7 linked regions of the Macaca fascicularis genome follow. The protein of the gene in region 1 interacts with the protein of each later gene in a biochemical or structural test. Links are inferred from orthologs where the notes say so. Each region holds a gene or a part of one and is shown in the gene's direction. Other genes may lie near its edges.

Region 1 (3,842 bases):
TTGTAATGGCCACATATAGCAGTAAGTTAAATTTTCATGAATAAACATTTTTGTTCAATTTAAAGTTAAAATGTAGTGTGTTTCTTTGGTGGGAGGAGAGGGATAGTGTGAGGTTAAGGAGAAGGAATGCTTATTTTAGATCACTATATACTGAACAATGTAATTGGTCATTATAAGCCATTTAAGAGGCTTATTTGAATTATTTGAGGCCATCTTGGGGATAATATTTCACTAGGCTCCTCTTCTGAGTATACTGGTATACTGAATTTAGAAAAGGTACATTTTGAAATCCCTCCGAAGACCTGTGAGATTGTAGAGTGCCAAAGGAGTATTCAAGAGTAGCCTCTACTGATATGGAAGCACTGCTATAACCTCCATGGTTATGAAACTAAAGACTGAAGCTGGAACCCACTGGATAAACAGAACAAAGGCCAGTTACAGTGTTTTTAAAAATATAAATGTATATCACTTTGCAAATTATGTTGCAAATGTTAAAAGAAAGTTTTGCTTGCAGAAACAAAAGGAACATTTGTAAAGGATGCAAAACACAGTGAAAGAGGAACTTCTAGTTTCCTTATTAGTAAACAAATAAGGAAAACTGTGAATCCTCATTTATAACCAAGAAATGCATATTTTAAAGAGATACCATTTTCTGACTAATGAAATTAGCAGGATCTTGAAGAATCTGTCTCTCCTCTTACCAAGGATTAATGAGAATTAAAATAGATATGCTAATAAATGGCTGGTAAGATACTAAACCTGTTTCTGATATAAGTTTAGGGTATTTAAACCTTTGAAAATTTGAGATAAGCTATAAGCCCTTTCTCTAGGAAAAATATAGATGTGCATACACTCAAAATTGGAAGGCTATTTCCTATGAGTCCGTAGACTCCAAAATAAAAAATTCTGCTCTAAATAAAAATCGTTTAACCTTTCTACTGTTTTCTTTGTTTGATAAGACTTTCCAAAAAAATACCTAGCTCAAGGGTTAATATTTCATATCTAAGTTACTTTTTTTTTTCATTTTTAGGAAGTACATCTCAGAATCTTGATTCTGGAACAGATTTGTCTTTCCCATGGATTCTGAATGTGCTTAATTTGAAAGCCTTTGATTTTTACAAAGTGATTGAAAGTTTTATCAAAGCAGAAGGCAACTTGACAAGAGAAATGATAAAACACTTAGAACGATGTGAACATCGAATCATGGAATCCCTTGCATGGCTCTCAGTAAGTAACTAGCTACATAATTGAAGAAATTCATTCATGTGCATATGGCTAACAAATTATCTGTTAGTGAGAGGTGTTTCTTAACATCTACCTCAAGAACAAATAGGCAATAATGAATAATGTTATTTCAGTCTGTAGCCCAAGAATCAAGTAGAATATTAGAATGGAGCTTTATTCGAGCGCCCTAAACCATCTAATACAGCATAGTGATTTATTTAAGAATAGCTTTTCTTAAAACATGGCACTTTAAAACAAAACAGAATTCTTTTTTTTTATTATTATTATATTTTAAGTTCTAGGGTAAGTTCTAAGTTCTAGGGTGCAGGTTTGTTACATATGTATACCTGTGCCATGTTGGTGTGCTGCACCCATTAGCTCGTCATTTACGTTAGGTATATCTCTTAATGCTATCCCTCCCCCCTCCCCCCACCCCACCACAGGCCCCAGTGTATGATGTTCCCCTTCCTGTGTCCAAGTGTTCTTATTGTTCAATTCCCACCTATGAGTGAGAACATGCAGTGTTTGGTTTTCTGTCCTTGCGATAGTTTGCTCAGAATAATGGTTTCCAGCTTCATCCATGTCCCTACAAAGGGCATGAACTCATCCTTTTTTATGGCTGCATAGAATTCCATGGTATATATGTGCCACATTTTCTTAATCCAGTCTATCATTGATGGACATTTGGGTTGATTCCAAGTCTTTGCTATTGTGAATAGTGTGGCAATAAACATACATGTGCATGTATGTTTATAGCAGCACGATTTATAATCCTTTGGGTATATACCCAATGATGAGATGACTGGGCCAAATGGTATTTCTAGTTATAGATGTTTGAGGAATCGCCACACTGTCTTCCACAATGGTTGAACTAGTTTACAGTCCCACCAACAGTGTAAAAGTGTTCCTATTTCTCCACATCCTCTCCAGCACCTGTTGTTTCCTGACTTTTTAATGATCACCATTCTAACTGGTGTGAGATGGTATCTCACTGGTTTTGATTTGCATTTCTCTCATGGCTAGTGATGGTGAGCATTTTTTTTTCATGTGTCTGTTGGCTGCATAAATGTCTTCTTTTGAGAAGTGTCTGTTCATATCCTTCACCCACTTTTGGATGGGATTGTTTGATTTTTTTCTTGTAGATTTGTTTAAGTTCTTTGTAGATTCTAGTTATTAGCCCTTTGTCAGATGGGTAGATTGTAAAAATTTTCTCCCATTCTGTAGGTTGCCTGTTCACTCTGATGGTGGTTTCTTTTGCTGTGCAGAAGCTCTTTAGTTTAATTAAATCCCATTTGTCAATTTTGGCTTTTGTTGCCATTGCTTTTGGTGTTTTAGTTATGAAGTCCTTGCCCATGCCTATGTCCTGAATGGTATTGCCTAGGTTTTGTTCTAGGGTTTTTATGGTTTTAGGTCTAACATTTAAGTCTTTAATCCATCTTGAATTAATTTTCGTGTAAGGTGTAAGGAAGGGATCCAGTTTCAGCTTTCTACATATGGCTAGCCAGTTTTCCCAGCACCATTTATTAAATAGGGAATCCTTTCCCCATTTCTTGTTTCTGTCAGGTTTGTCAAAGATCAGATGGTTGTAGATGTGTGGTATTCTTTCTGAGGGCTCTGTTCTAAAACAGAACATAATTCTTTAAAGTATTTAGATAATTTATTTAAAATACAGTCGTCATTATGTTTGAAAATGTAAATGTCTGCTCTTAAATTGTGAGATTATGTTATTTAGATTATTAAAAAGTGCATTTTTTTCTTGTTGAATATAATAGGATTCATTTTTCCCATTATTAGAGTATAAAAATCTATACTATTGTTCAATTATAGGTATTGGTGTATTGGTTCAATCATTATAGGGGCACAAATTATATTGTCTAGGATTCTCTTTATAGCATTATAACTATTGATAAGGCTTTTGTTTTAATAAAATTGGCAACTTGAGTTTATGCTCTTCAAATCTGCATAGTTGGATAATACTTTGTGAATCATCAGATTTGTAGATTAATGGTTTCTTTTGAAACTGTGTTGCATGCTAAGTATATATCTTTTAATTTGTATCAGTATATAGAAATGGTAATTAAAAATTAAGACTTTAGGTATGCTATAATCCTAATTTGCACATGTAACCTTAGTTTTAATTTCTTTATGTTTTGAATTTTTAATGACTAAGCAATAGTTTATTTCTTAGTGTTTTCTTGTGTTGCCATATAGACAGTGAATAGAGGAGAGAAGCATGGGAAATTGATAGAAGAATGTTATACTCCTATTATTGAATTTGGTAACTACTTATGGAATGAACTTACACTTGATAAGGAGTACTTAGGAGAAAACTTTCTGAATCTGGGGAATTAAGTGAAAGTAAAAATAAATAAATAGATAAGTAAATAAAATAAGCACATAGAGTACTTTTTAAAGGCTATGTGTCCTCTCCTCCCAGAAATTGATATTGAGATATTACCATATCATCTGAAAGTGACTATTGTTATTTCTTTTAGAGAGTTAATTTTATTTCTATCAACACATATTTATTGAACATATGCCATATGCCTTGAATTGAGAGAGATATTGTGAGGCTACAAAAAACATAAAGGCTTGGAAAATTGTGTAGGAAGTAATAA
Region 2 (4,016 bases), on another chromosome or scaffold:
TAGAGGGCCTTGGGTCTGTGTTCAAGTCCAGGCAGGCCGTTGTCACTTTCCCATCTGTGAAACGGCAGCAGCAAAAGCATCTTCCTGGTGGGGTGAAAAAGAACCTCGGGGTCCAGGCCCACCCTGAGCACAGGGCAGGGACTTGGTAAAAACTTCTCTTTCTCTTTCCTTCTCTGTTTCCTGCATGCCACCCCCCTCCCGTGAGGCCTGGCTTAAGCCCCTCCCCAGCAGCTTCAGAAACAGAAGCTTTTTGGCCTCTGGGGCTGGCAATAGGTCTTAGGGCCCAGATGAGGGCATTTCGTTTGGGATGAATGGGGGACATGCGGCCATGTGACCTTGGTATGCCATGCCATGCTCCCTCTGGGCCTCCACTGGCACAATCCATGGGGGTCCCTTTCTCTCTGATGTGCAGCCCACAACGTAAGCCTTAGGTTTGGGAGTCTGGTGGGAGCAATGCCACCACCGCTGACAGTAGCGACACCCTTCATGGACTGCAGCTGGGAGAAGTGACTCATCCAAGGTCACACAGTGTGGCAGGGCCCAGCACCCCTCCGCCCCTGCACCATCCCAGGGCCCAGGTCGGATGGCGCGGCGCGGGGCAAGAGAAGACCCGGGTGTGTACAAGCCGCAAGCAGGCGGCAGGTGCGGTGGGCGGGGCTAGGGGCGGGACACCGTGGACCAGGGTCCAGCCCCCAGCGCAGCGCGATCCTGCTCCGTCCCCCCGACCCCCGGGGTCCTCATATTGGCGGTGGCTTAAGAGGGGAATCGTCACAGGCGTGGAGTCTACTCCTTTCTAGAGCCGGGGACCTGGGGAAGAGGTGGGAGTTTAGGGGGAAGGGCTACGGAGATGGGTCGCTTCTCCTGGAGCTAGAGTTGCGGGCTGGGGTCTCCAGGGTTCCGCCCGGGGAGCGGCCCCTGGTCCGCCGTCGGGGCTCTGCTCGGTCCTCCTGAAACCTCCGCCTCCTCCAGCAGGGGGCGGGCCGGGGCCGCATCTCCGGGGGAAGGCGATCAGGTCGCCCCCTCCTCCGATTCCCCCGCCTTCCAGGACAGCCTCCAGCCCAGAGGGGCGGTCTGGGGGCGGGGTCGCACCGCCCCCTCTCGCTCCCAATCCCGGGGCGGCCGGGCGGGGGTGGGCAGGGGGCGTGAGGTCGCCCCCTGCGGCCCGGGGACCCCCCCCGAAAACGCGCTCCGGGTGCCCGGTCCTCCGCTGCGCCCTGCCGCCGTCCTCCTGGGGGTCTCGGGCGGCCGCGGCCGTGTCCTTCGCGTCCCGGCGGCGCGGCGGGAGGGGCCGGTGTGACGCAGCGGTTGCTACGGGCCGCCCTTATAAATAACCGGGCTCAGGAGAAACTTTAGCGAGTCAGAGCCGCGCACGGGACTGGGAAGGGGACCCACCCGAGGGTTCAGCCACCAGCCCCCGCACTAATAGCGGCCACCCCGGCAGCGGCGGCAGCAGCAGCGACGCAGCGGCGACAGCTCAGAGCAGGGAGGCCGCGCCACCTGCGGGCCGGCCGGAGCGGGCAGCCCCAGGCCCCCTCCCCGGGCACCCGCGTTCATGCAACGCCTGGTGGCCTGGGACCCAGCATGTCTCCCCCTGCCGCCGCCGCCTGCCTTTAAATCCATGGAAGTGGCCAACTTCTACTACGAGGCGGACTGCTTGGCTGCTGCGTACGGCGGCAAGGCGGCCCCCGCGGCGCCCCCCGCGGCCAGACCCGGGCCGCGCCCCCCAGCCGGCGAGCTGGGCAGCATCGGCGACCACGAGCGCGCCATCGACTTCAGCCCGTACCTGGAGCCGCTGGGCGCGCCGCAGGCCCCGGCGCCCGCCACGGCCACGGACACCTTCGAGGCGGCTCCGCCCGCGCCCGCCCCCGCGCCCGCCTCCTCCGGGCAGCACCACGACTTCCTCTCCGACCTCTTCTCCGACGACTACGGGGGCAAGAACTGCAAGAAGCCGGCCGAGTACGGCTACGTGAGCCTGGGGCGCCTGGGGGCCGCCAAGGGCGCGCTGCACCCCGGCTGCTTCGCGCCCCTGCACCCGCCACCCCCGCCGCCGCCGCCGCCCGCCGAGCTCAAGGCGGAGCCGGGCTTCGAGCCCGCGGACTGCAAGCGGAAGGAGGAGGCCGGGGCGCCGGGCGGCGGCGCAGGCATGGCGGCGGGCTTCCCGTACGCGCTGCGCGCTTACCTCGGCTACCAGGCGGTGCCGAGCGGCAGCAGCGGGAGCCTCTCCACGTCCTCGTCGTCCAGCCCGCCCGGCACGCCGAGCCCCGCCGACGCCAAGGCGCCCCCGGCCGCCTGCTACGCGGGGGCCGCGCCGCCGCCCTCGCAGGTCAAGAGCAAGGCCAAGAAGACAGTGGACAAGCACAGCGACGAGTACAAGATCCGGCGCGAGCGCAACAACATCGCCGTGCGCAAGAGCCGCGACAAGGCCAAGATGCGCAACCTGGAGACGCAGCACAAGGTCCTGGAGCTCACGGCCGAGAACGAGCGGCTGCAGAAGAAGGTGGAGCAGCTGTCGCGCGAGCTCAGCACCCTGCGGAACTTGTTCAAGCAGCTGCCCGAGCCCCTGCTCGCCTCCTCCGGCCACTGCTAGCGCGGCCCCCGCGCGCGTCCCCCTGCCGGCCGGGGCCGAGACTCCGGGAAGCGCCCGCGCCCGCGCCCCCGCCTCCGCCCCCGGCGGCGCCGGCAAAACTTTGGCACTGGGGCACTTGGCAGCGCGGGGAGCCCGTCGGTAATTTTAATATTTTATTATATATATATATCTATATTTTTGTCCAAACCAACCGCACATGCAGATGGGGCGCCCGCCCGTGGTGTTATTTAAAGAAGAAACGTCTATGTGTACAGATGAATGATAAACTCTCTGCCTCTCCCTCTGCCCCTCTCCAGGCGCCGGCGGGCGGGCCGGTTTCGAAGTTGATGCAATCGGTTTAAACATGGCTGAACGCGTGTGTACACGGGACTGACGCAACCCACGTGTAACTGTCAGCCGGGCCCTGAGTAATCGCTTAAAGATGTTCCTACGGGCTTGTTGCTGTTGATGTTTTGTTTTGTTTTGTTTTTTGGTCTTTTTTTTTGTATTATAAAAAATAATCTATTTCTATGAGAAAAGAGGCGTCTGTATATTTTGGGAATCTTCCGTTTCAAGCATTAAGTAAGAACACTTTTAATAAACTTTTTTTTGAGAATGGTTACAAAGCCTTTTGGGGGCAGTAATTGGCTTTTGTTTTTTTTTTGCTTTATTTTGGATTTGTAGGATTTTGTTTTTGCGTTTCTGGTGTGTAGTGGGTTGTGTGTGGGGGGCTGCTGTTATTTTTGGAGGTTTTGGTGGTTGGTGGGGGTGTTGCAGCTGGTTTTTCTGCCTCCTCTGCTACACCCTCCCCCCACCCACAGGGTCTGCTTGGAGATGGGGTTCCAGCCCTGGGGGAAAGGGGAGAAGAGTAATGGGTCAGGCTTTCGGGCTAACTCAGAGCTCCTGGGCGCCGGGACCGGTGGCTGGGAACCCTGCTTGAGAAGAGATTCCGGGACCTCTGACTGGTCCCGAGTGTCAGGCTTGGGTTTGGAAGGGCTGGGAGGTCTGTGACCCCTGCCCTGTGTTTGGGGACTAGATAGGCAGGCCTGTGACTGTAGGAGGAGGGGTTCAGGTCTTGGTCCTGCTGAGCCCGAGTCAGGGCAGATGCTTTTAGTAAGTGTAGTTGGGTGGGTTGTTTAAAACACAGTTTGTGTATACATGTGCATTTTAAAGAGGGGATCCTGGGTGCGTGGGCGAATCTGTTTGTGTATCCCTGGCCAGCAGGAGGGGAGAGGCCAGGCCAGGTGGAGGGAGGTGGGGGCGGGGTTCCCACACTTTGATTCCCTTTCCTGGGGATGGGAGGCTCATCACTTGCCCTCTTTGCCCAGACGTGGATACTGAGCCCACCTCACCTGCCCGCTCAAGGTGGCTGAGCCCAGGCACAAACTTGGGGCTGCTAGCCCTGATTCCCTGGGACAGGCTCCTCTTCCTCGCCCCCTGATCCTTTTGC
Region 3 (4,473 bases), on another chromosome or scaffold:
GAAGCTCAGAGGAGTTCCGTGATTTGCTCGCTTCACACTGTTGCAGCCTGGCCACGAAAGAACAAGCATTCCCGACTTCGGGATTCTTTCCACCACACACTTTCGTCCCTAAGGGGTGGGGGGCGGGGGGAAGATAAAATAACAACCGCGGAAAAGGAACCACTTACATGTGTCTAGCGCTTCCTAGAGGCTACTCAGGATATGGGCCCACCACCCGGCCGGGAAGGTGGAGATTTGAAGTCCAGGTTCTACCCCGGGCTCCTGAGTTCTACTGCGTTACTTTATGCGAGTGTCCCCCGCCTTCTGAGCTTGTTTTCCCGGAAGCAACTCGGCGCGGGTGGAGAGTGTGTGCGTGTGTGTGTGTGTGTGTGCGCGCGCGCGCATGTTGTGCGTGTTGTGTTAAGCGTGTGTGTGTTGTCCGGGGGCGGGAAGGGGAGTAGACTAACACCGGGGTTCCCCGAGTTTCGGATCGCCTACACGCTTGTTCCCATCTGGACCCTGTTACCCACTAATTGCGCCCACTATAAAAACTGCCCCTCGGAGGCAAAGCTGTGATCCCCCGCGCCCTTTCCCCCACGGTCCCGGAGGATGAAGTGGGGTGCAACGGAGACTCAGCTGAGCGTCCAGTTTTGGGCAATACAAATCTCTCAGCTTCTAAGAGCAGCCAGACAACCCCGCGGACCATCGCTCCTGAACTTGACCGAGATGCAAACTTCGCAGCGTTTCTCAACGTGGGGGGCCGACTCTCGGGAGACCGCCCCCAAACTTAAGCCCCCTTAGGCTCGCCCCCAACTGGGACTTCACAGAGCCACCTTAAGGGCGGCGCTCCCGCCCCCCGGAAGTGCGGGGGGGCGGCGGACCTGGACTCTCAGCCTCCCGCCCCGCGCGGTGGCGGACGCCGGTGGATGACTTCGAGCCCCACAAGTGGGGAAACACAACCACCCCTCGCCCGCACCCTTGACCCAAAACAACTGGCCGGGTTCCCTGGCCTCCCGGGTCCCCGCATCCCCTGCATCCCAGTCCGCAGCCGTGAACTTGAGCCCCCTCCGTCAGATGTTGCGAGCGTCCGCCCGCTCGCGGCAGCCACCGTCACTAGACAGTCAAACCCCAAGACGTCAGCCCACAATGCACCGGGCGGGCCGGGAAAAACGGCCCGGGGAGGGGACCGGGGAAGAGAGGGCCGAGAGGCGTGCGGCAGGGGGGAGGGTAGGAGAAAGAAGGGCCCGACTGTAGGAGGGCAGCGGAGCATTACCTCATCCCGTGAGCCTCCGCGGGCCCAGAGAAGAATCTTCTAGGGTGGAGTCTCCATGGTGACGGGCGGGCCCGCCCCCCTGAGAGCGACGCGAGCCAATGGGAAGGCCTTGGGGTGACATCATGGGCTATTTTTAGGGGTTGACTGGTAGCAGATAAGTGTTGAGCTCGAGCTGGATAAGGGCTCAGAGTTGCACTGAGTGTGGCTGAAGCAGCGAGGCGGGAGTGGAGGTGCGCGGACTCAGGCAGGCAGACAGACACAACCAGCCAGCCAGGACGGCAGTATAGTCCGAACTGCAAATCTTATTTTCTTTTCCACCTTCTCTCCAACTGCCCAGAGCTAGCGCCTGTGGCTCCCGGGCTGGTGTTACGAGGAGTGCCCAGAGAGCCTGGTCTCCAGCCGCCCCCAGGAGGAGAGCCCTGCTGCCCAGGCGCTGTTGACAGCGGTGGCGAGCAGCGGTACCCACGCGCCCGCCGGGGGAAGTCGGCGAGCGACTGCAGCAGCAAAGAACTTTCTCGGCCCGGAGGGCCGGAGACAACTGGCCCAGAGTCCCGGAGCGAACTTTTGCAAGCCTTTCCTGCGTCTTAGGCTATTCGGCGGCGGTAAAGACCAGGAGGCGGCGGACAGCCACGCAAAAGAAGAAGGACGTGCGCTCAGCTTCGCTCGCACCGGTTGCTGAACTTGGGCGAGCGCGAGCCGCGGCTGCCGGGCGCCCCCTCCCCCTCGCAGCGGAGGAGGGGACAAGTCGTCGGAGTCTGGGCGGCCGAGACCCGCCGCTGGTCGGCCTCTGCGGGTCGGCACTGATCCGCGCCGCCGGGAGAGCCGCTGCTCTGGGAAGCGAGTTCGCCCGCGGACTCCAAGGAACGGCGGCGCCCGAAGAGCGCTCAGTGAGTGACCGCGACTTTTCAAAGCCGGGTAGCGCGCGCGCGAGTCGACAAGTAAGAGTGCGGGAGGCATCTTAATTAACCCTGCGCTCCCTGGAGCGAGCTGGTGAGGAGGGCGCAGCGGGGACGACAACCAGCGGGTGCGCGCGCTCTTAGAGAAACTTTCCCTGCCAAAGGCCCCGGGGGGCACGGGTGTCCCCCGCTTGCCAGAGCGCTGTTGCGGCCCCGAAACTTCAGCACGCAGCCCAAACTAACCTCACGTGAAGTGACGGACTGTTCTATGACTGCAAAGATGGAAACGACCTTCTATGATGATGCCCTCAACGCCTCGTTCCTCCCGTCCGAGAGCGGAGCTTATGGCTACAGTAACCCCAAGATCCTGAAACAGAGCATGACCCTGAACCTGGCCGACCCAGTGGGGAGCCTGAAGCCGCACCTCCGCGCCAAGAACTCGGACCTCCTCACCTCGCCCGACGTGGGGCTGCTCAAGCTGGCGTCGCCCGAGCTGGAGCGCCTGATAATCCAGTCCAGCAACGGGCACATCACCACCACGCCGACCCCCACCCAGTTCCTGTGCCCCAAGAACGTGACAGACGAGCAGGAGGGCTTCGCCGAGGGCTTCGTGCGCGCCCTGGCCGAACTGCACAGCCAGAACACGCTGCCCAGCGTCACGTCAGCGGCGCAGCCGGTCAGCGGGGCGGGCATGGTAGCTCCAGCGGTAGCCTCGGTGGCAGGGGGCAGCGGCAGCGGAGGCTTCAGCGCCAGCCTGCACAGCGAGCCGCCCGTCTACGCCAACCTCAGCAACTTCAACCCAGGCGCGCTGAGCAGCGGCGGCGGGGCGCCCTCCTACGGCGCGGCCGGCCTGGCCTTTCCCGCGCAACCCCAGCAGCAGCAGCCGCCGCCGCAGCCGCCGCACCACCTGCCCCAGCAGATGCCCGTGCAGCACCCGCGGCTGCAAGCCCTGAAGGAGGAGCCTCAGACAGTGCCCGAGATGCCTGGCGAGACGCCGCCCCTGTCCCCCATTGACATGGAGTCCCAGGAGCGGATCAAGGCGGAGAGGAAGCGTATGAGGAACCGCATTGCTGCCTCCAAGTGCCGAAAAAGGAAGCTGGAGAGAATCGCCCGGCTGGAGGAAAAAGTGAAAACCTTGAAAGCTCAGAACTCGGAGCTGGCGTCCACGGCCAACATGCTCAGGGAACAGGTGGCACAGCTTAAACAGAAAGTCATGAACCACGTTAACAGTGGGTGCCAACTCATGCTAACGCAGCAGTTGCAAACATTTTGAAGAGAGACTGTTGGGGGCTGAGGGGCAACGGAGAAAAAAAATAACACAGAGAGACAGACTTGAAAACTTGACAAGTTGCGACGGAGAGAAAAAAGAAGTGTCCGAGAACTAAAGCCAAGGGTATCCAAGTTGGACTGGGTTGCGTCCTGACGGCGCCCCCAGTGTGCACGAGTGGGAAGGACTTGGCGCGCCCTCCCTTGGCGTGGAGCCAGGGAGCGGCCGCCTGCGGGCTGCCCCGCTTTGCGGACGGGCTGTCCCCGCGCGGACGGAACGTTGGACTTTTCGTTAACATTGACCAAGAACTGCATGGACCTAACATTCGATCTCATTCAGTATTAAAGGGGGGAGGGGGAGGGGGTTACAAACTGCAATAGAGACTGTAGATTGCTTCTGTAGTACTCATTAAGAACACAAAGCGGGGGGGAGGGCTGGGGAGGGGCGGCAGGAGGGAGGTTTGTGAGAGCGAGGCTGAGCCTACAGATGAACTCTTTCTGGCCTGCCTTCGTTAACTGTGTATGTACATATATATATTTTTTAATTTGATGAAAGCTGATTACTGTCAATAAACAGCTTCATGCCTTTGTAAGTTATTTCTTGTTTGTTTGTTTGGGTGTCCTGCCCAGTGTTGTTTGTAAATAAGAGATTTGGAGCACTCTGAGTTTACCATTTGTAATAAAGTATATAATTTTTTTATGTTTTGTTTCTGAAAATTCCAGAAAGGATATTTAAGAAAATACAATAAACTATTGAAAAGTACTCCCCTAACCTCTTTTCTGCATCATCTATAGATACTAGCTATCTAGGTGGAGTTGAAAGAGTTAAGAATGTCAATTAAAATCACTCTCAGTGCTTCTTACTATCAAGCAGTAAAAACTGTTCTCTATTAGACTTTAGAAATAAATGTTCCTGATGTACCTGCTTCTATGGTCAGGTTATACTCTTCTTCCCCCAGCTATCTATATGGAATTGCTTACCAAAGGATAGTGCGATGTTTCAGGAGGCTGGAGGAAGGGGGGGAGTGTGTTGCAGTGGAGAGGGACAGCCCACTGGGA
Region 4 (4,343 bases), on another chromosome or scaffold:
CAGGAAGAGGTTGAGAGGCCCCCATGGGGGTGGCCGGTATGCTGAGGCTTGTATGGGAGCCAGAGTTCCCACATTCCATGGGGTGGTTGCCTCCTCCTGTTTCCAGCCTTTCCAGTGAGGCTGCAGGAAAGAGACACAGCTGAGGCCTGGAGACTACGTGGGACTCTGTCAGGGCATGGTGCCATGGACGAGTTGTAAGCCTTGGGGAGGTAGCATCCAACTCTGAAAGCCCCTTGCTCGAATAACTCTACATCACTGCCTGAGGGCTTCCACATCCTTGGTCTCTTCAGACTCTCATCCCCACCACAATTACTCCAAGAAATTACTGTCATTCCCAAATCTATAACTGGAAACTGAGGCTAAGGAAGGAGACAGGACTTCCACAAAATCACACAGTGGGGACACTCTGAAGTCTGGATTCAACTGGTCTGCAAATCACACTCTCAGAGACTTCAGGTGAGATGAGGTGAGATTCTCAGGCCAGGTCCTGAAGTTTGCGACCTTGGCCAAATGCACTTTCCTTGACTCAGCACCGCGGGTGAGGCAGAGCCAAGAACGGAGGAGAAGGGTTTTCTTCCCAGCTGAAGAGGCAGCTCAGCCTAGACCCCAGGCATGGCACTGGACAACCCTGCTGTGGAAACGTGCAGATTTAGATGGACGGGATTCCTCACCTGGGCAGGATCCGAGTTTGGAGAGATTGGCGCGAAGCTTTAGCAGCAATCTCTGATTCCTGTACAACCATGGCGGGGTTTCTAAGCGTCTAGGGAAGAAGGACTGGGCCCACGACCTCCTGAGCAACTCCCAGGTCGGGGACTGGTGGAATATCACAGCCTCTACGACCCGTTTGTCTCGAGCTCTCCCACTTCAACTATCGGGGTTTCTCTGCCTGTTGTTGCACTCGTGCGTTTCTTTGCACCTGACACTCTAAGCTTTCTGCTTTCTGCGTGTCTCTCAACCTCTTTCGGTCCCTCTTTCACGGTCTCACTCTCTCAGCTCTATGCCCCCAATCCCTTGCCTCTCTCCAAATAACTCACGACCTGATTTCTACAGCTGCTCTACCCATGGGTTCCCCAAAAATCAGGGGCAGAGGAGTATTAAAAGTCAGCTCAGAGGTGAGCGCGCACAGCCAGCGTTTCCCGCGGACACAGCAGTCGGGTGTTGGAGAGGTTTGGAAAGGGCTTGCCGGAGAGCCAAGTGCAGCCGCCTAAGGCTACCAGTCGCTCCCTCCCTCCCTGCCCGGTAGGGAACCGAGAGCGCGCGCCAGTGTGGAGGGGCGGGCTGGCTGGCCACTCTGCGGGCCCCTGCGGCCACCCAGGGGACTCCCCAAGCCCCGCCCCGCTGTGTTCCTATTGGCCTCGGGCTCCCCCGCCCCTAGCTGCCCGCCTGGGCTCCGGGGCGTTTAGGCTACCACGGATAAATAGCCCAGGGCGCCTGGCGCGAAGCTAGGGGTGAGGAAGCCCTAGGGCGCTGCCGCCGTTTTCCTTAACCACAAATCGGGCGGGACAGGACAGGGAGGGGTGGGGGACAGTGGGTGGTCATTCACACTTCCAGCACTTTACTATCAACAGCCAGGGCTCCCGAGCGGCAGAAAATTCCGGCCACTCTCTGCCGCTTGGGTTGGGCGAAGCCAGGACGGTGCCGCGCCACCGCCAGGATATGGAGCTACTGTCGCCACCGCTCCGCGACGTAGACCTGACGGGCCCCGACGGCTCTCTCTGCTCCTTTGCCACAACGGACGACTTCTATGACGACCCGTGTTTCGACTCCCCGGACCTGCGCTTCTTCGAAGACCTGGACCCGCGCCTGATGCACGTGGGCGCGCTCCTGAAACCCGAAGAGCACTCGCACTTCCCCGCGGCGGTGCACCCGGCCCAGGGCGCGCGTGAGGACGAACATGTGCGCGCGCCCAGCGGGCACCACCAGGCGGGCCGCTGCCTACTGTGGGCCTGCAAGGCGTGCAAGCGCAAGACCACCAACGCCGACCGCCGCAAGGCCGCCACCATGCGCGAGCGGCGCCGCCTGAGCAAAGTAAATGAGGCCTTTGAGACGCTGAAGCGCTGCACGTCTAGCAACCCGAACCAGCGGTTGCCCAAGGTGGAGATCCTGCGCAACGCCATCCGCTATATCGAGGGCCTGCAGGCTTTGCTGCGCGACCAGGACGCCGCGCCCCCTGGCGCCGCCGCCGCCTTCTATGCGCCCGGCCCGCTGCCCCCAGGCCGCGGCGGCGAGCACTACAGTGGCGACTCCGACGCGTCCAGCCCGCGCTCCAACTGCTCCGACGGCATGGTAAGGCCGGGACCCCAGGAAGTGAGGAAGTTAGGGCGGCGCTCCGAATATCTGGGATGTGCTTCCAAGGGCGGGGAGCTGGCCTTGCGGGAGGTTTAGTACAGGATCCTTTCCAAGCGAGAGGACCCCCGTGTAATGGGCAGCTGTCACTGGGGTAGCCTAATTGTTTTGGAAGCGTGCGGGCATGCGTTCGAGCCACCCCGTTGGGGGCGCGATTAGAACACTGCAGCGCGGACATGAAGCTCTTTTTCTGTATTTTTTCCTACTTCCAAAATGTAAATTTGCGCCCCTTGGTGACTGTCCGCCCTTGGTTTGGCCCTGCATGTTGCAGACCTCATCTCCTACCCACCCGTAATCACCCCCAACCAGGACAGGTCTGGGCCCGGAACTCGAGGCTGGGGCTAGAGTTAGGGAGGGGGCGGCTACAGGGATTGGTGTTCGGGCCCCGCGCCGTCCCGCGGGCCTGACTCAGTCGCCCTTGCTGTTTGCAGATGGACTACAGCGGCCCCCCGAGCGGCGCCCGGCGGCGGAACTGCTACGAAGGCGCCTACTACAGCGAGGCGCCCAGCGGTAGGTATTCCGGGCTTCGCCCTGCTCGCTCCTCCTCCCCATGGCCTTCATGGAGCTGTCCTGGCCTCTCTCTATCTAGGACGCCCCCACCCCAACTCACATACGCCTATGTCCCGGGAGGTGGTGCAGGCGATGAAATACTAAGCAAGTAGCTCCTTCTCCTTTCGATTGTCCCGGACTCTGACAAGTCCTCAGTTTCCAATCTGTCTCAAAGTACTGGACCCAGGGGTGGGAGGCTTGTCGCGGCCGCACCCCTGCTTACTAACCGAGCCCTCACCGCGCAGAACCCAGGCCCGGGAAGAGTGCGGCGGTGTCGAGCCTAGACTGCCTGTCCAGCATCGTGGAGCGCATCTCCACCGAGAGCCCTGCGGCGCCCGCGCTCCTGCTGGCCGACGTGTCTCCGGAGTCGCCTCCGAGCGGGCAAGAGGCTGCCGCCCCCAGCGAGGAAGAGAGCGGCGACCCCACCCAGTCCCCGGACACCGCCCCGCAGTGCCCTGCGGGTGCGAACCCCAACCCGATCTACCAGGTGCTCTGAGGGGCGGGTGGCCGCCCACCCGCCCGAGGGATGGTGCCCCTAGGGTCCCTCGCACCCAAAAGATTGAACTTAAATGCCCCCTCCCAACAGCGCTTTAAAAGCGACCCCTCTTGAGGTGGGAGAGGCGGGAGAACTGAAGTTTCCGCCTTCTGCCACCCAGGGCAAGGACTCAGCGCGGTTTTTTCCACGCAGCACCCTTCCCGGAGATCCATTGTGATGGCCGCTCCGTGTTCCTCGGTGGGCCAGAGCTGAACCTTGAGGGGCCAAGTTCAGCTTTCTCGCGCCCTCCCCCATGGGGGTGAAACCCTCCCAGACCTAAGCCCTGCACCGGGATGCACCGGTAATTTGGGGGGCGTGAGGCCCAGGTGCACTCCTGTCCCAAATGTAGCAGGTGTAACCGTAACCCACTCCCAACCCGTTCCCCGGTTCAGGACCACTTTTTATAATACTTTTGTAATCTATTACTGTAAATAAGAGTTGCTTTGCCAGAGCAGGAGCCCCTGGGGCTGTATTTATCTCTGAGGCATGGTGTGTGGTGCTACAGGGAATTTGTACGTTTATACCGCAGGCGGGCGAGCCGCGGGCGCTCGCTCAGGTGTTCAAAATAAAGGCGCTAATTTATACTGCGGTGGCTCCAGCTTTCCCTGGGCATGGGAGTGGGATCCGGAGGAAAATCCGCAAACTGGGCCAGCTGTGCCTCAGCGACCCCTGTAGGCAGCAGGCGGATTGCAAGGAGGAAGCCTGCTGCCTGGGGAAGGAAGGAGGGGTGCAAATTTGTCCAATACGTGGGGAAGTTCCTCTGACCTTGACTACCTCACCACACACTTCCGTGGCTCTTATGGAAGGGTACACAGGTTGATATGAGTATTTTTTAAACCCATGTCTGAGCTCGCCTCCCAGAGATTCTGATTTAATGTTTCTGCCCCAGATACCCAGGGCCAGGTACTGGTAT
Region 5 (3,842 bases), on another chromosome or scaffold:
GAGGAGGAGACTGGGGCGCGTGCCCGCTTCCGTGGCCGCGCGCGCCCTTTACCCGCCCTTCCTCTTCCCCCGCCCTCCAGCCTGGGGCCTCCCCGGGGCGGGCGCTCAGAGGAGGAGGAGATTTTTTTTTTTTGGCTGGGGTTGGGGAAGGGGGGCGGAGAGCGGGCGCTCGCTGCACGCGGGAGCTGGGAGCAGGCCCTCGCGTGGGCAGGGGAGGGCGCGCGCCGCGGAGCCGGGCCGCAGGGGCTGGGGGAGGGGGGTCAGGAAGAAGAGGAGGGGCGTACTCTCCCTCCCAGAGACCCCTTAAGTCTGATAAGGTTATGGCTGGGTCTCTGAGAGCGTGGACCTGCCCACCTTTACTCTGGGCGGGGAGGGTTAGAAAGTCGTTCACCTCTCAGCCTTCCTGAGTGGGAACTTGTATGTCTTCCAAAGGGTGAGGTGGCTTTGACCCCGGGTTGCCCGGCCAGCACGACCGAGGAGGTGGCTGGACAGCTGGAGGATGAACGGAGAAGCCGACTGCCCCACAGACCTGGAAATGGCCGCCCCCAAAGGCCAAGGTAGGGGCATCCACTCCCAGCCCTCTGAAACTTAAACCCTCTTTGCCTCGTGGCTGTGGGGCACACTGCCTTCTTCAAGGGCTTTTCCAGTCTGCATACACTGAATTGGGGGAGAAAGTGCCTTGAGTACTTATGAATCAAGCATCTCCCACACTTGATTGGTTTGGCTGAATCCAAATTTTTTGGCCTGGAGTGGCTTACCTCCCCTCTCTCCCTGTCCCTCACACCCTATGTTAGAGGAGGCCTGCCTTCTGGGGTTTGCATTCAGCCTTAAGTGTGTCCCAGCCCAGTGTCCTGGAATGGGAGGAATGATGACTGTAGAGGGAAGGCTTCTCAGGCTTTTTAGGAAGACCATGAGGCTTTTGTAGAGGCAGGTGGAGAAGAGGGCTGTTGTGGTGGTTTGAGGCCCCAAGCCATGGGATATATGTACTCAACTAGATCTCTGCCTCATTCAGCAGTGATCCAGTTTGGATGGGGGTGGAGGGTAGGATGGAGCTGGGCAGCTGGCCATGCTTGTGGGACATTGAGGGGAGAGGGGATTATGGGTCCTTGTGGCCCATTCTGCAGAATCCCTGGCCTAGGTTACGAGATGCAAATGAAAATGGAGAGCCCTTTTGACTTCTGGCCTTGGGTGACTATTCTCCCAGCCCATCCACAGAGGCCTAGAGCTCTCTGGGGCTGCATTTCAGTGGCTGAAAATAACTGGTCCAGACCTGGTCTTGCTTCCCTGGGGAGTTGGGCTGACAAGACAGCTTGTAATTCTGGGGGTTCTCCCTGGATCAGGGCCCTGAGAGCTTTTGTGCACCTGCCTACTTTGCCTCAGAGTTGCCCTGTATCCTGCTTCTGTTTCTGTTTCTTTTTTCTTATTTGCCAGAAATTCTCCCTTGATCTGCCTTGAGGGGCCAGGGGATAGTGGGTATCTCTAACATCAGTCTCCAGCTGTGCAGGAGAAACATGTGCATGAATTTTCCCTACTGCCCACACCCCATCCTCAGTCCTTGCACATTTAGAATATCCACTCAGAACTTGAACTTGGCAGCACATTTAGATACAATGCCTCCTTGCTTCCCTCCTCTGACAAGCTATCTCATTTCCCACAAAGTCCTGAATCACTGTACCTTCATTTCCACCCCTCTTCCCCTTATAGCAAATAGCTGCCTGTTGCAGCTTGGCACAGTAGAAATGATAATAGCTTTGAAGCAAGCCAGACTTGAGTTTGAGCCTGGCTTTCTAGGTATAGCATGGTCTGGACTGGAGTCCCTGCCCTCATCCAGTATGGCCACAGTTTCCTTAGGGCTGAGCCATATCTTGTCTCTGCCTTCAGATGGGAAGCAATCAGGGGCTGGGATGCCCTAGGGAGGAAGAGTTGAGCACTCAAGAACTGGGGAACAGATTTGGGGGATAGCATGAGCCAGGCATGATGGCCTCTGTTACCCTTCACCAGACCGTTGGTCCCAGGAAGACATGCTGACTTTGCTGGAATGCATGAAGAACAACCTTCCATCCAATGACAGCTCCAAATTCAAAACCACCGAATCACATATGGACTGGGAAAAAGTTGCATTTAAGGACTTTTCTGGAGACATGTGCAAGCTCAAATGGGTGGAGATTTCTAACGAGGTAACTGATCCCCCCTTTCTGACACACGCACATACATATACAAACATTACCCCCTCCTCAGCCGTGGTAGGGGAAGTGAAACAGGCTGTAAACAGGAAGGAAAGACACCAGGAGAGGCGTTCATGTGGTCGCACGTTAGCTCTCTACCTGCCCCTTTGCATTTTGGGAGGTGGCACGGTTGACAGCACTGGCTTAAAGTTATGCCACTTTCTATCTGGGTGGTCTTGAGCCGAACAGCCTGAGCTGTGCTGAGATTGACAGAGGTGCTAACATGCTGAGATTGAAGGAGGTGCTGGCATGGACAACCAGGTTGAGGTCAGGTAGTCCCTTTGTTGCTGGCCTTTGGTGTGTACTGACTGCCTGGGCCTCTGTGGTAGGCATGGGCCAGTGCCTGGGTGTCAGGGTGCCTGCTTCATTTGGCTGTTGGCCTCTGCTCTTCTTTGGTAAATTTAGTCTGCTTCATTTGGCTGTTGGCCTCTGCTCTTCTTTGGTAAATTTAGTCTAGTAAAGAGTAGAAGAGACCCATTATAAGATGGGGGTATGCTACTGTGTGGCATTTTCCTTTTCCCAACTTCCCCTTCCTCCCGCCCCTCTTCTTCCAGGTGAGGAAGTTCCGTACATTGACAGAATTGATCCTCGATGCTCAGGAACATGTTAAAAATCCTTACAAAGGCAAAAAACTGAAGGTGAGTTACTAGAAGGAGGAGCATGAGGGGTAGGGGAGGAAAGATCCAAAGAACGGATGGTATTTGACCTCCATTGTGTCCTTGTTCCTTGTCCCTTCTTCCAGAAACACCCAGACTTCCCAAAGAAGCCCCTGACCCCTTATTTCCGCTTCTTCATGGAGAAGCGGGCCAAGTATGCGAAACTCCACCCTGAGATGAGCAACCTGGACCTAACCAAGATTCTGTCCAAGAAATACAAGGAGCTTCCGGAGAAGAAGAAGGTGGGGGGAGGAGAGTTAAGGTGGGAGGAGGGGAGAGGCTGGGAGCAGCTGGTGTGGTGTGGGTCGGTTGGAGGTAGGCCTTGGAGAGACCTGGCATCAGGGACGAGGGTGAGTCAGCACAGCAGAGTAGGTCCTGGGCAGGCACACCTGATCGCCCCTTCCTCGGCCCACACATGTTCAGGCACAGGCACCACCACAGATGCTCAGACAGCAGATGCTCAGACCAACCTTTCCCCCTACAGAAAACCCACAGCATTCTGTTTCATCAGGCTCTCTCCCCCATACACCCATCCTCACTGTTAGGCTGCGCAGCACTTCTTCACTCTCTATGACGTTTCCCGTCATGGTCTCATCTGATACTTGCGATGTCTTCATGAAGGTAACCCCAGGAAAAGGTTATCCCAGTTTTGTGGGCAAGGAACTGAGGTGCAGGAGGGTTAAGTGTCCTAGGTGACACAACTATTGATACTAGAGCAGGATTTAGTGCCCCAGAGTCCCAGTCCAGTGCTGTTACTGCCATGTCCACCTGTGAAGTGCACTTCCTTCTCCACACACACATGTTCACTCAAGGACACACATTGTCCCTCCTGGCCTCATACTGTTCCTTGCAGAGGTCGGGCACTGTCCCAGACCATCAAAGCATTAACCCTGGTTGGAGGGTTGCCCAAGCCTCCCAGGCAGGACTGCAGCACAGAGCTCAGAAGGTCCCTCCCAGAGAA
Region 6 (4,269 bases), on another chromosome or scaffold:
CTGAGCCCAGCTTCCCATGTGGAAACGGGGTTAATTATAGTAACTACCCCAAGTTGCTGATAATGGAGTCACGCAGGGAGCTGGGCCTGGTGTGTTGCTGGCGCCCAATGGACGTTTTTTTTTTCCCCCACCCCCATTACCCCGAGACGGAGTCTCGCTCTGTCACCCAGGCTGGGTGCGGTGTCCGGATCTCGGCTCACTGCAACCTCTGCCTCTTCGGTTCAAGCGATTCTCCTGCCTCAGCTTCCCGAGTAGATGGGATTACAGGCGCCCGCCACCACGCCCAGCTAATTTTTTTTTCGTATTTTTAGTAGATGCGAAGTTTCAGCATGTTGGTCAGAATGGTTTCGAACTCCTGACCTCAGGTGATCCGCCCTCCTCGGCCTCCCAAAGTGCTGGGATTACAGGCGTGAGCCACCGCGCCGGGCCTCTTGTTAGTTTTACTTGGAGAAATACAACCCCCAAGTGGAAGCTACCATGGAACCAGTCCTGGGAGGGAGACGGCGCCCACCCGGCCCGCCCGGGCCCAGCTCCTCACCCGCCTCCCGCCAGTGGTTACCATGACAACCGGGGACTCGTCTCCTGGCAGTCCCGTCAGCTTCCGGTAGAAGAGCTCGGCCACATCCCGGCCGCCACTGTCCCCGCGGACTGGCGGGTGGAAGGACTCAGTGAAGGATCCTGCGACACGGGCTGGCCCTGGGCGCCCCTCCCGCCCGGTCCCTCCGCCCCTTCCCAGCCCCGAGGGTCTAGGATACAGTCTTTGTAGATGAGCGGGTCCCCCTTGGAGGACAGAATGAAGAACTGGGAAATCATGGCCGTCCTGGAGAGCAGACAAGAAGACGGCGAAAGTTGGGCCTGCCCCGCCCTGAGGCCCCGGAACAAAAGAACGCGCGTGCGCTGGCCCTTTAAGAGCGATTCTCCTCCGCCGCGCCAGCTTGGACCGCGGGAAACCCGGCGCCCGCCCCACCCCGCCCGGAGATTCCCTTCCGACTCCCGCACCGCCTCCCCGTCACTCATTCGAGGCCCGCCCGGCGATTGGCTTGCGGCTAGCGGGAGGGAGAAAGGGCCGGCTTTTCCGATTGGCCCGCACGCAGTGGCGCTGGTCACGTGGGGGGCGACGTTTCGCGCCAATTTCGGTTGGCCGGCCACAGTCCACCGCGCGGACGTTCTCAGCTTCCCCAGAAGCAAGACCTCTGAGCCCGCCAAGAGCTGCCGCACAGGCCTCGGCAGCGATGGCACTGAAGGACTACGCGCTAGAGAAAGGTACGGGTCTACAAGCCTGGGAGGGCGTCCTGCGCGGGGAGCCTCCCGGGGAACACCTGTTGATGTGAGCTGGGGTCTTCGAGGACCGGGGTCAGCGGGTTCTGGGGCGCGCGACGCCAGAGGCAGGGTCGGGTTGCGGCCTGGCTAAGGCCCACGGGACCTGGAAGGCGCGCGAGGGGCATCGACGTTGAAGAAAAGGTAGTAATCCCACTTGGGAAAGGTGTTATAGAGTTGGGGGGCTTGGGGGGCGCTACCCGGCTGAGGGCTGCACAGGGAAGAGTCGCGCCGAGGACCTCAGGAGACTCTAAGGGCTCTGGACCCCGGACCCGCTTCCCTCCGCGCTTTTGGATATTCCCAGGTTCCCGCCGCCTCCCCGAGGCGCGCGGAGGCCCCGGGGGCGGGCAAGCCGGGGCCGCTACGTGCCGGGATTGGCCGTTTGAGGCCGCCCTCCGAGCGGAAGTGGAGCCGGGCGGAAGTGGCGCGACGCGGGTGGAGGGAGTGTCGTGTAAACAGTGTCCTTCCGCGTGGCGGCCTCGGAGAGAGCTGCGACCCGGGGGGGCGTGCCTGGGATCCGGGAGCTTCGCTCGGGCCCGGGAAAGGCGGCAGTGGGCTGGGATCGCAGTGGCCCTGGGCGTGCTGGCCAATGGCTGAACTGGCTCCCGCCTCGGGCGGAGGAATCCCGGGCTGTGAAGCGGCTGGAATCCGGGCCCATGTGCTTCTTTGTTTACTAAGAGCGGAAGCGCTGGCGGGAGCGGTGGTGGGGTGCGGGACCTGCCTGGTGGCGGAGGTCTCGGTGAGATAAGGGGCTCGGGGGACCCAAAGAAGGCAGGGGATCATGGGGGTGGAAAGAAAGCTGAGAACCTTGAGGCCGGAGTGTGGGAGGCCAATGGGGAACGGCGCTAGGATTTTAAACTAAAGTAGGGACAGGAATTCCCCTGGGGAATAGATGTTGGATCGCCCTGTGCACTGCCCCGGGCTCTTTATTCTTCGCTGGTTAAAACAGACTGTGCAAAAGAGTTATGCCCACTTTGGGGAGAATTCGGTAGTTTATTTAAATGTTCATATTATTAGTTCATAGGCTGTGTTTTAAGCGAAAATAGGTATCTTAGATTTCTATCAGAGGGATGGGCAGTGATGTGTCTTAAAGTTTATGTTTTATGATTTTACATTTCACGTTACAGAAAAGGTTAAGAAGTTCTTACAAGAGTTCTACCAGGATGATGAACTTGGGAAGAAGCAGTTCAAGTATGGGAACCAGTTGGTAAGTATAAGATTGGGTAAAGGGAATGGGGAAGTGGGGTGCATAAGGAGCCATAAGAAGTAGCTTGGCTGGTTTTATTAAAGAGGTAATAATTAGAGGGTTTGGGGGCTGAGAAGCAAGTATCTCTCTAAGTGGTGCTGTGTTCCCCCCTGTGGATGCCCAGAGCCTGTGCTGAGTTCTCAGTAATGTATCTTCACATATGAACACTGGTGCACAAGGTGAATGTGGCTTTGAGGTGTTTCTGTCTCTTTCTCACCTGAGGTTCGGCTGGCTCATCGGGAACAAGTGGCTCTGTATGTGGACCTGGACGACGTAGCCGAGGATGACCCCGAGTTGGTGGACTCAATTTGTGAGAATGCCAGGCGCTACGCAAAGCTCTTTGCCGATTCCGTACAAGAGCTGCTGCCTCAGTACAAGGAGAGGGAAGTGAGTGGCTAGAGAACAATGGCAAACAAAGGGAAAGGCATTTAAGCTTCTGTAGAGAGGCTGGTCAGATACTGATGTTTTCTGAGCAGGCAGAAAGAAGGGGCATTTCAGTCTGGTGTTCTCTGCACTCTCCTTTCCCCATCCTGTTGCTCGTTTATTTATTTATTTGTTTATTTTGTCCTCCTTTAGGTGGTAAATAAAGATGTCCTGGACGTTTACATTGAGCATCGGCTGATGATGGAGCAGCGGAGTCGGGACCCTGGAACAGCCCGAAGCCCCCAGAACCAGTACCCTGCTGAACTCATGCGCAGATTGTGAGTGGTCTCTGTTTGGAAGTATGTAGGGATTGGTTCTCCAGGATCTTGTTTGTGACTGTTTTCTCCCCTTAGTGAGCTGTATTTTCAAGGCCCAAGTAGCAACAAGCCTCGTGTGATCCGGGAAGTGCGGGCTGACTCTGTGGGGAAATTGGTGACTGTGCGTGGAATTGTCACTCGTGTCTCTGAAGTCAAACCCAAGATGGTGGTGGCCACTTACACTTGTGACCAGTGTGGGGCAGAGACCTACCAGCCGGTACGTGTGGAGCAAGGAGCAGGAAAGCCCTTACCCATTAGTCGTTTTGTAGAGATTAATTTGATCCCGTGATGCCTATCATTTTCTTTGCTTGTAAAAGTTGCCTGTGTGTTTGCCTTTCATTGTTGGGTATGTAATGGTCTTTCTACCTATTTCTTGGGTGTTTGTTGTTGACCCAGAGTTAAGTTCAAAGGGTTCTTGACACTTCCAAGATGTCTGCCATGAAGAGAAAATGTGATTCAAGGAACCGACCGACCCAATGGGGCTCTTTTGCTTCTGACTTCCTTTTGCTGCTTCTGTTCTCACATCCTAGATCCAGTCTCCAACTTTCATGCCTCTGATCATGTGCCCAAGCCAGGAGTGCCAAACCAACCGCTCAGGAGGGCGGCTGTATCTGCAGACACGGGGCTCCAAATTCATCAAATTCCAGGAGATGAAGATGCAAGAACATGTGAGTTTGGGGTACGTGGCCCTGGGCAGGTGGATTGGGAGTCCACTTGAATCCTGTAGTCACTTGTGGAGTGGCAGGAAGAAAGAAGAACGAAAGAGGGAAGTGCAGGAGGGAGGTGGAACTAGAATTTCTGAGAGCCTTGGGAAGGGGAAACTCAGTAGCCCTCCTGTGGGCTTGTCTGTGACTAGGCAGCCTGGGAGCCTTTGAGTGGGATGCCTAGGGAGGGAAGGTTGGGTCCTCGTCCATTTCTCCTGGCCTTATGTGCCTTTCCCTCCCCTAGAGTGATCAAGTGCCCGTG
Region 7 (3,842 bases), on another chromosome or scaffold:
GACAGATGGCCTGGGGCTGTGCCGCGTGTCAGCAGTGGTCATTCACCCTGCACTGAGGCTTCTGCCCGCTGGAAACTCACAGCTCAGCTTTCAGTAGGGAGAGACTTTGATAACATTCACGAGGGGCTTCCGGCACAGTGGGTCGTTTCTCCCCTCTGTCTGTGGAGGTGACTCCTGCAGTCTCTCCTGCCCCCTACAGCTACTGCGACTACTACCGGCCCCGGTTCTTCCTCCTGGAGAATGTCAGGAACTTTGTCTCCTTCAAGCGTTCCATGGTCCTGAAGCTCACCCTCCGCTGCCTGGTCCGCATGGGCTATCAGTGCACCTTCGGCGTGCTGCAGGTGGGCCCCGGGGCCGGGGCGGGCAGATGGATGTGGCCAGCACATGACCCGGCCAGCAGCCAACCGTCCCTTACTGAAAGCAGGGTTCAATGGCACAGGCCTGCCATTCAGGCGGCAGAGGCTGGCATGGTGCTCTGTCCCACTGGTGGGGTCAGGGGAGATGCATGCTCAGCCAGCCCCCAGCAAGTCCACCTCTAGCGTCTCTTGAGCTGTGTTCTCGAACATGCCCGGGAGGGCTGGCTACCAGGGGCTTCTCACCAGGTAGCTCCCGGTTCCTTTCCCTCGATGGAGAAGGGTGAGCAGCCCACCACGGAGCGGTTAAGTCTGCATGAGGGGAAGTGAGGTGTGCAGAGACATGTGTAGGCAGCTGCTGTTCGATCGGTTTAAAAGACAGTTTTGCTCTGGGTAACTGCGCATACAAACCCCCACAGATGGCCGAGGGTTGCACTCCAGGTGGCTGTGTCTGCAGGGACAGGGATGGACATGGTCTGTGGGGCCCAGGCCTTATCTGAAAAGCATCCCCCCCATCCTCTATCAGCTCAGCGATTGAGGGTATAACTAAAAATGAAGCAGCTATTCAGATGCTAGCACAGGATGTCTGCCTAAGTGGGCAAGCACTTGGCTACCCGGTCCCCTAGTTCAGCCTCAGGGTGACTCAGGCTCAGCAGGCAAGACTTGTCACAGCCACGTTCTCTGTCCTTGTAACCACAGCCATTAGGGAAGTGGCAGGGCTCCTGGTCTCCAGTGTTGTTCTTCCTGAGTGCTAAGACCTCGGGGCCCTTGCAGTGCTTTCAGAGCTGGCTGGACTTGCCCACAAGGTTCGCTCCCACCTTCCCCAGTGGTTGTCCCCTGCGCTCAGCTGCTTTTGTTCTTTATCTGCTCCAACCTCCTCTGACCAGGAGCGTGCCTGCTGGGGTAACTGGGGATTCTGCAAGTGCACTCTGCATCGGCCAGCTGCTCCCAAGTCAGGCTGCTGACCCCAGGCCTGGGTCTGGCCTGTCCAGTTGGGAGTGTCCCACTGATGGGGGTGTCTGTCCTTCTCCCCCACAGGCCGGTCAGTACGGCGTGGCCCAGACGCGGAGGCGGGCCATCATCCTGGCCGCAGCCCCTGGAGAGAAACTTCCCCTGTTCCCGGAGCCGCTGCACGTGTTTGCACCCCGGGCCTGCCAGCTGAGTGTGGTGGTGGACGACAAGAAGTTCGTGAGCAACATAACCAGGTAGGTGGCCCCGGTCACTCCTCCACACACTGCCGAGCGGGCCTCAGTAGCTCCTAGGGCCCGTGAGTGCTCCCTGGTGAGATTTAGGGAGGAGAGGATGGTACGGCATCCAGCCTGCAACACGGCGCTCTGTCACCCCCCTTCTCCAATTCTGACCCCGCGTCATCTGCTTCCCTAGTAGATAGCGCATGTAGAGCGGCTGGCCGCATGCTTGGCTGTGGTCATCCACAAAGTCCATGCCATAACCCCGTCCCCTCTTCCAGATGGCATCCAGGCACACTGCCACTCATGTGACCTCAGGCAGTGTGCTGTGACCTCTGGAGAAGGCCATGTGAGCAGGCAGGGGGCAGCACCTGTGACGAGGGGACAGCTGCTGCGTGCATGCCCAGAGGTGTCCACCTCCTGTTGCAGGTTGAGCTCAGGTCCTTTCCGGACCATCACGGTGCGAGACACAATGTCCGACCTGCCAGAGGTGCGGAATGGAGCTTCAGCACTGGAGATCTCCTACAATGGGGAGCCTCAGTCCTGGTTCCAGAGGCAGCTCCGGGGCGCACAGTACCAGCCCATCCTCAGGGACCACATCTGTAAGGTAACGGCACCCTGACAGAGCAGCTCCCCCTGGAGGCCCAGCCTAGCAGCCTCATGGGAACAGTCAGAGCCTGCCCAAGGCTCAGGGGGGACATGGAATCTGATCCCAGGCTCCTCTTCCTGAGTCCTCAGCCCTTGCGTGACCCCTGGTCTCTCTCCCATGGTCATGGGAAGTGTCAGAGCTCCCGCACTCCTGGACTCAGACTCGGTCTGGAATGGTGTCAAGCCACTGCCCACCCACCACTGCCTTCCCCCTCGCTGCCTCTTCCTGCATATTTTCCCAGGATGCCAAGACCAGCCCTTTCACCATCCCCTGGCACCACTCCCCTTCCCCCACCCTAAAGACTCAGCTTAGATTCCCACGCTGTCCCGCCCCTGCGCTGCCTCAGGTCTCTGCTATGGCCTTGAGCCAAGTACAACATCCCCGACTGTCTCTTTCCCAATGGGCGTGAGCCCCAGGGGGCTTCCTGGTCACCATGGTGTTCCCAGCACCCAGCCCACCATGGATGCTCGGATGCTGCTTACACGAGGTGACAGCTGGGTCCCCCACACTCTTTCAGGACATGAGTGCATTGGTGGCCGCCCGCATGCGGCACATCCCCTTGGCCCCCGGCTCAGACTGGCGCGATCTGCCGAACATCGAGGTGCGGCTCTCGGACGGCACCATGGCCAGGAAGCTGCGGTATACCCACCATGACAGGAAGAACGGCCGCAGCAGCTCTGGGGCCCTCCGTGGGGTCTGCTCCTGCGTGGAAGGTGGGGCCTGTAGGTCGTGGTTCCCGATGGGCTGAGGGGAAGGAAGGCAGAGCCCTGGGGCTTTGACCTGTGAACCTGGAGGCCAGGGCAGGGCACAGACACACCAAACCTGGGTGTCCCAGAGAAGGTAGCTGCTGACCATGTTAAGTAGTAAAAGCAGACTGGGTTGGTGGCCACACCTGTAATCCCAGCACTTTGGGAAGCACTTTAAGGCGGGAGGATCACTTGAGCCTGGGAGGTTGAGGCTGTAGAGAGCTGTGATTGTGCCATTGCACTCCAGCCTGGGAGACAGAGTGAGACCTTGTCTCTAAAATGAATGAATGAATGAATGAATGGATAGATAGATAAAATGATAAAATAAATAAAACAGGTCAGGCACAGTGGCTCAACCTCTGTAATCCCAGCACTTTGGGAGGCTGAGGCAGGCAGATCACTTGAGGTCAGGAGCTCGAGATCAGCCTGGCCAACATGGTGAAACCCCATCTTTACTAAAATTATACAAATTAGCTGGGCGTGGTATCACACGCCTGTAATCCCAGCTATTTGGGAGGCTGAGGCAGGAGAATCGCTTGAACTCCATAGGCAGAGGTGGCAGTGAGCCAAGATCATGCCATTGCACTCCAGCCTGGGCAACAGAGCCAGACTCTGTCTCAAAAAAATATATAGTAATAATAACAAACACAGTCCCCAGAGAATGAGGATTGTTGGCTGTTCCACCCCAGGGGTCCCCTTGCACAGGAGGTGCCATCTCTGCCTCCCAAAGCTCTAAGAGCCACTGTCCCCTGTCCCAAGCCTATACCCCATCCCGTAACTGCAGCCTCATCACTGTCCTCTCTTCCAGCCGGCAAAGCCTGCGACCCCGCAGCCAGGCAGTTCAACACCCTCATCCCCTGGTGCCTGCCCCACACCGGGAACCGGCACAACCACTGGGCTGGCCTCT

What was found.
Region 2: the proteins of RB1 (region 1) and CEBPB form a complex in vitro, tested with the Homo sapiens proteins (2 studies listed by BioGRID, with this or other methods). The link is inferred for Macaca fascicularis from reciprocal best matches to the Homo sapiens genes RB1 and CEBPB.
Region 3: the proteins of RB1 (region 1) and JUN form a complex in vitro, tested with the Homo sapiens proteins (2 studies listed by BioGRID). The link is inferred for Macaca fascicularis from reciprocal best matches to the Homo sapiens genes RB1 and JUN.
Region 4: the proteins of RB1 (region 1) and MYOD1 form a complex in vitro, tested with the Homo sapiens proteins (2 studies listed by BioGRID). The link is inferred for Macaca fascicularis from reciprocal best matches to the Homo sapiens genes RB1 and MYOD1.
Region 5: the proteins of RB1 (region 1) and UBTF form a complex in vitro, tested with the Homo sapiens proteins (2 studies listed by BioGRID). The link is inferred for Macaca fascicularis from reciprocal best matches to the Homo sapiens genes RB1 and UBTF.
Region 6: the proteins of RB1 (region 1) and MCM7 form a complex in vitro, tested with the Homo sapiens proteins (2 studies listed by BioGRID). The link is inferred for Macaca fascicularis from reciprocal best matches to the Homo sapiens genes RB1 and MCM7.
Region 7: the proteins of RB1 (region 1) and DNMT1 form a complex in vitro, tested with the Homo sapiens proteins (2 studies listed by BioGRID). The link is inferred for Macaca fascicularis from reciprocal best matches to the Homo sapiens genes RB1 and DNMT1.

Annotation. Positions count from the first base shown.
Region 1 is NC_088391.1:27,516,771-27,520,612, forward strand, and holds part of RB1 (retinoblastoma-associated protein), read left to right. Parts: coding exon 1-21; intron 22-1,030; coding exon 1,031-1,227; intron 1,228-3,842. UniProt on the Homo sapiens protein: Tumor suppressor that is a key regulator of the G1/S transition of the cell cycle. The hypophosphorylated form binds transcription regulators of the E2F family, preventing transcription of E2F-responsive genes.
Region 2 is NC_088384.1:106,283,189-106,287,204, forward strand, and holds CEBPB (CCAAT/enhancer-binding protein beta), read left to right. Parts: upstream 1-1,351; 5' UTR 1,352-1,552; coding exon 1,553-2,587; 3' UTR 2,588-3,192; downstream 3,193-4,016. UniProt on the Homo sapiens protein: Important transcription factor regulating the expression of genes involved in immune and inflammatory responses. Also plays a significant role in adipogenesis, as well as in the gluconeogenic pathway, liver regeneration, and hematopoiesis.
Region 3 is NC_088375.1:175,917,986-175,922,458, forward strand, and holds JUN (transcription factor Jun), read left to right. Parts: upstream 1-1,438; 5' UTR 1,439-2,416; coding exon 2,417-3,421; 3' UTR 3,422-4,177; downstream 4,178-4,473. UniProt on the Homo sapiens protein: Transcription factor that recognizes and binds to the AP-1 consensus motif 5'-TGA[GC]TCA-3'.
Region 4 is NC_088388.1:48,060,333-48,064,675, reverse strand, and holds MYOD1 (myoblast determination protein 1), read left to right. Parts: upstream 1-1,444; 5' UTR 1,445-1,656; coding exon 1,657-2,286; intron 2,287-2,777; coding exon 2,778-2,856; intron 2,857-3,140; coding exon 3,141-3,391; 3' UTR 3,392-4,014; downstream 4,015-4,343. UniProt on the Homo sapiens protein: Acts as a transcriptional activator that promotes transcription of muscle-specific target genes and plays a role in muscle differentiation. Together with MYF5 and MYOG, co-occupies muscle-specific gene promoter core region during myogenesis.
Region 5 is NC_088390.1:65,272,820-65,276,661, reverse strand, and holds part of UBTF (nucleolar transcription factor 1), read left to right. Parts: intron 1-432; 5' UTR 433-499; coding exon 500-557; intron 558-2,001; coding exon 2,002-2,177; intron 2,178-2,779; coding exon 2,780-2,863; intron 2,864-2,967; coding exon 2,968-3,123; intron 3,124-3,842. UniProt on the Homo sapiens protein: Recognizes the ribosomal RNA gene promoter and activates transcription mediated by RNA polymerase I (Pol I) through cooperative interactions with the transcription factor SL1/TIF-IB complex.
Region 6 is NC_088377.1:48,752,249-48,756,517, reverse strand, and holds the start of MCM7 (DNA replication licensing factor MCM7), read left to right. Parts: upstream 1-1,135; 5' UTR 1,136-1,232; coding exon 1,233-1,263; intron 1,264-1,763; exon of another isoform or gene 1,764-2,056; intron 2,057-2,444; coding exon 2,445-2,524; intron 2,525-2,785; coding exon 2,786-2,950; intron 2,951-3,005; coding exon of another isoform or gene 3,006-3,013; intron 3,014-3,139; coding exon 3,140-3,264; intron 3,265-3,339; coding exon 3,340-3,520; intron 3,521-3,833; coding exon 3,834-3,971; intron 3,972-4,251; coding exon 4,252-4,269. Other genes in the region: AP4M1 (AP-4 complex subunit mu-1), read right to left, coding at 539-648, 756-813. UniProt on the Homo sapiens protein: Acts as a component of the MCM2-7 complex (MCM complex) which is the replicative helicase essential for 'once per cell cycle' DNA replication initiation and elongation in eukaryotic cells.
Region 7 is NC_088393.1:10,683,749-10,687,590, reverse strand, and holds part of DNMT1 (DNA (cytosine-5)-methyltransferase 1), read left to right. Parts: intron 1-199; coding exon 200-341; intron 342-1,391; coding exon 1,392-1,558; intron 1,559-1,969; coding exon 1,970-2,147; intron 2,148-2,706; coding exon 2,707-2,911; intron 2,912-3,743; coding exon 3,744-3,842. UniProt on the Homo sapiens protein: Methylates CpG residues. Preferentially methylates hemimethylated DNA. Associates with DNA replication sites in S phase maintaining the methylation pattern in the newly synthesized strand, that is essential for epigenetic inheritance.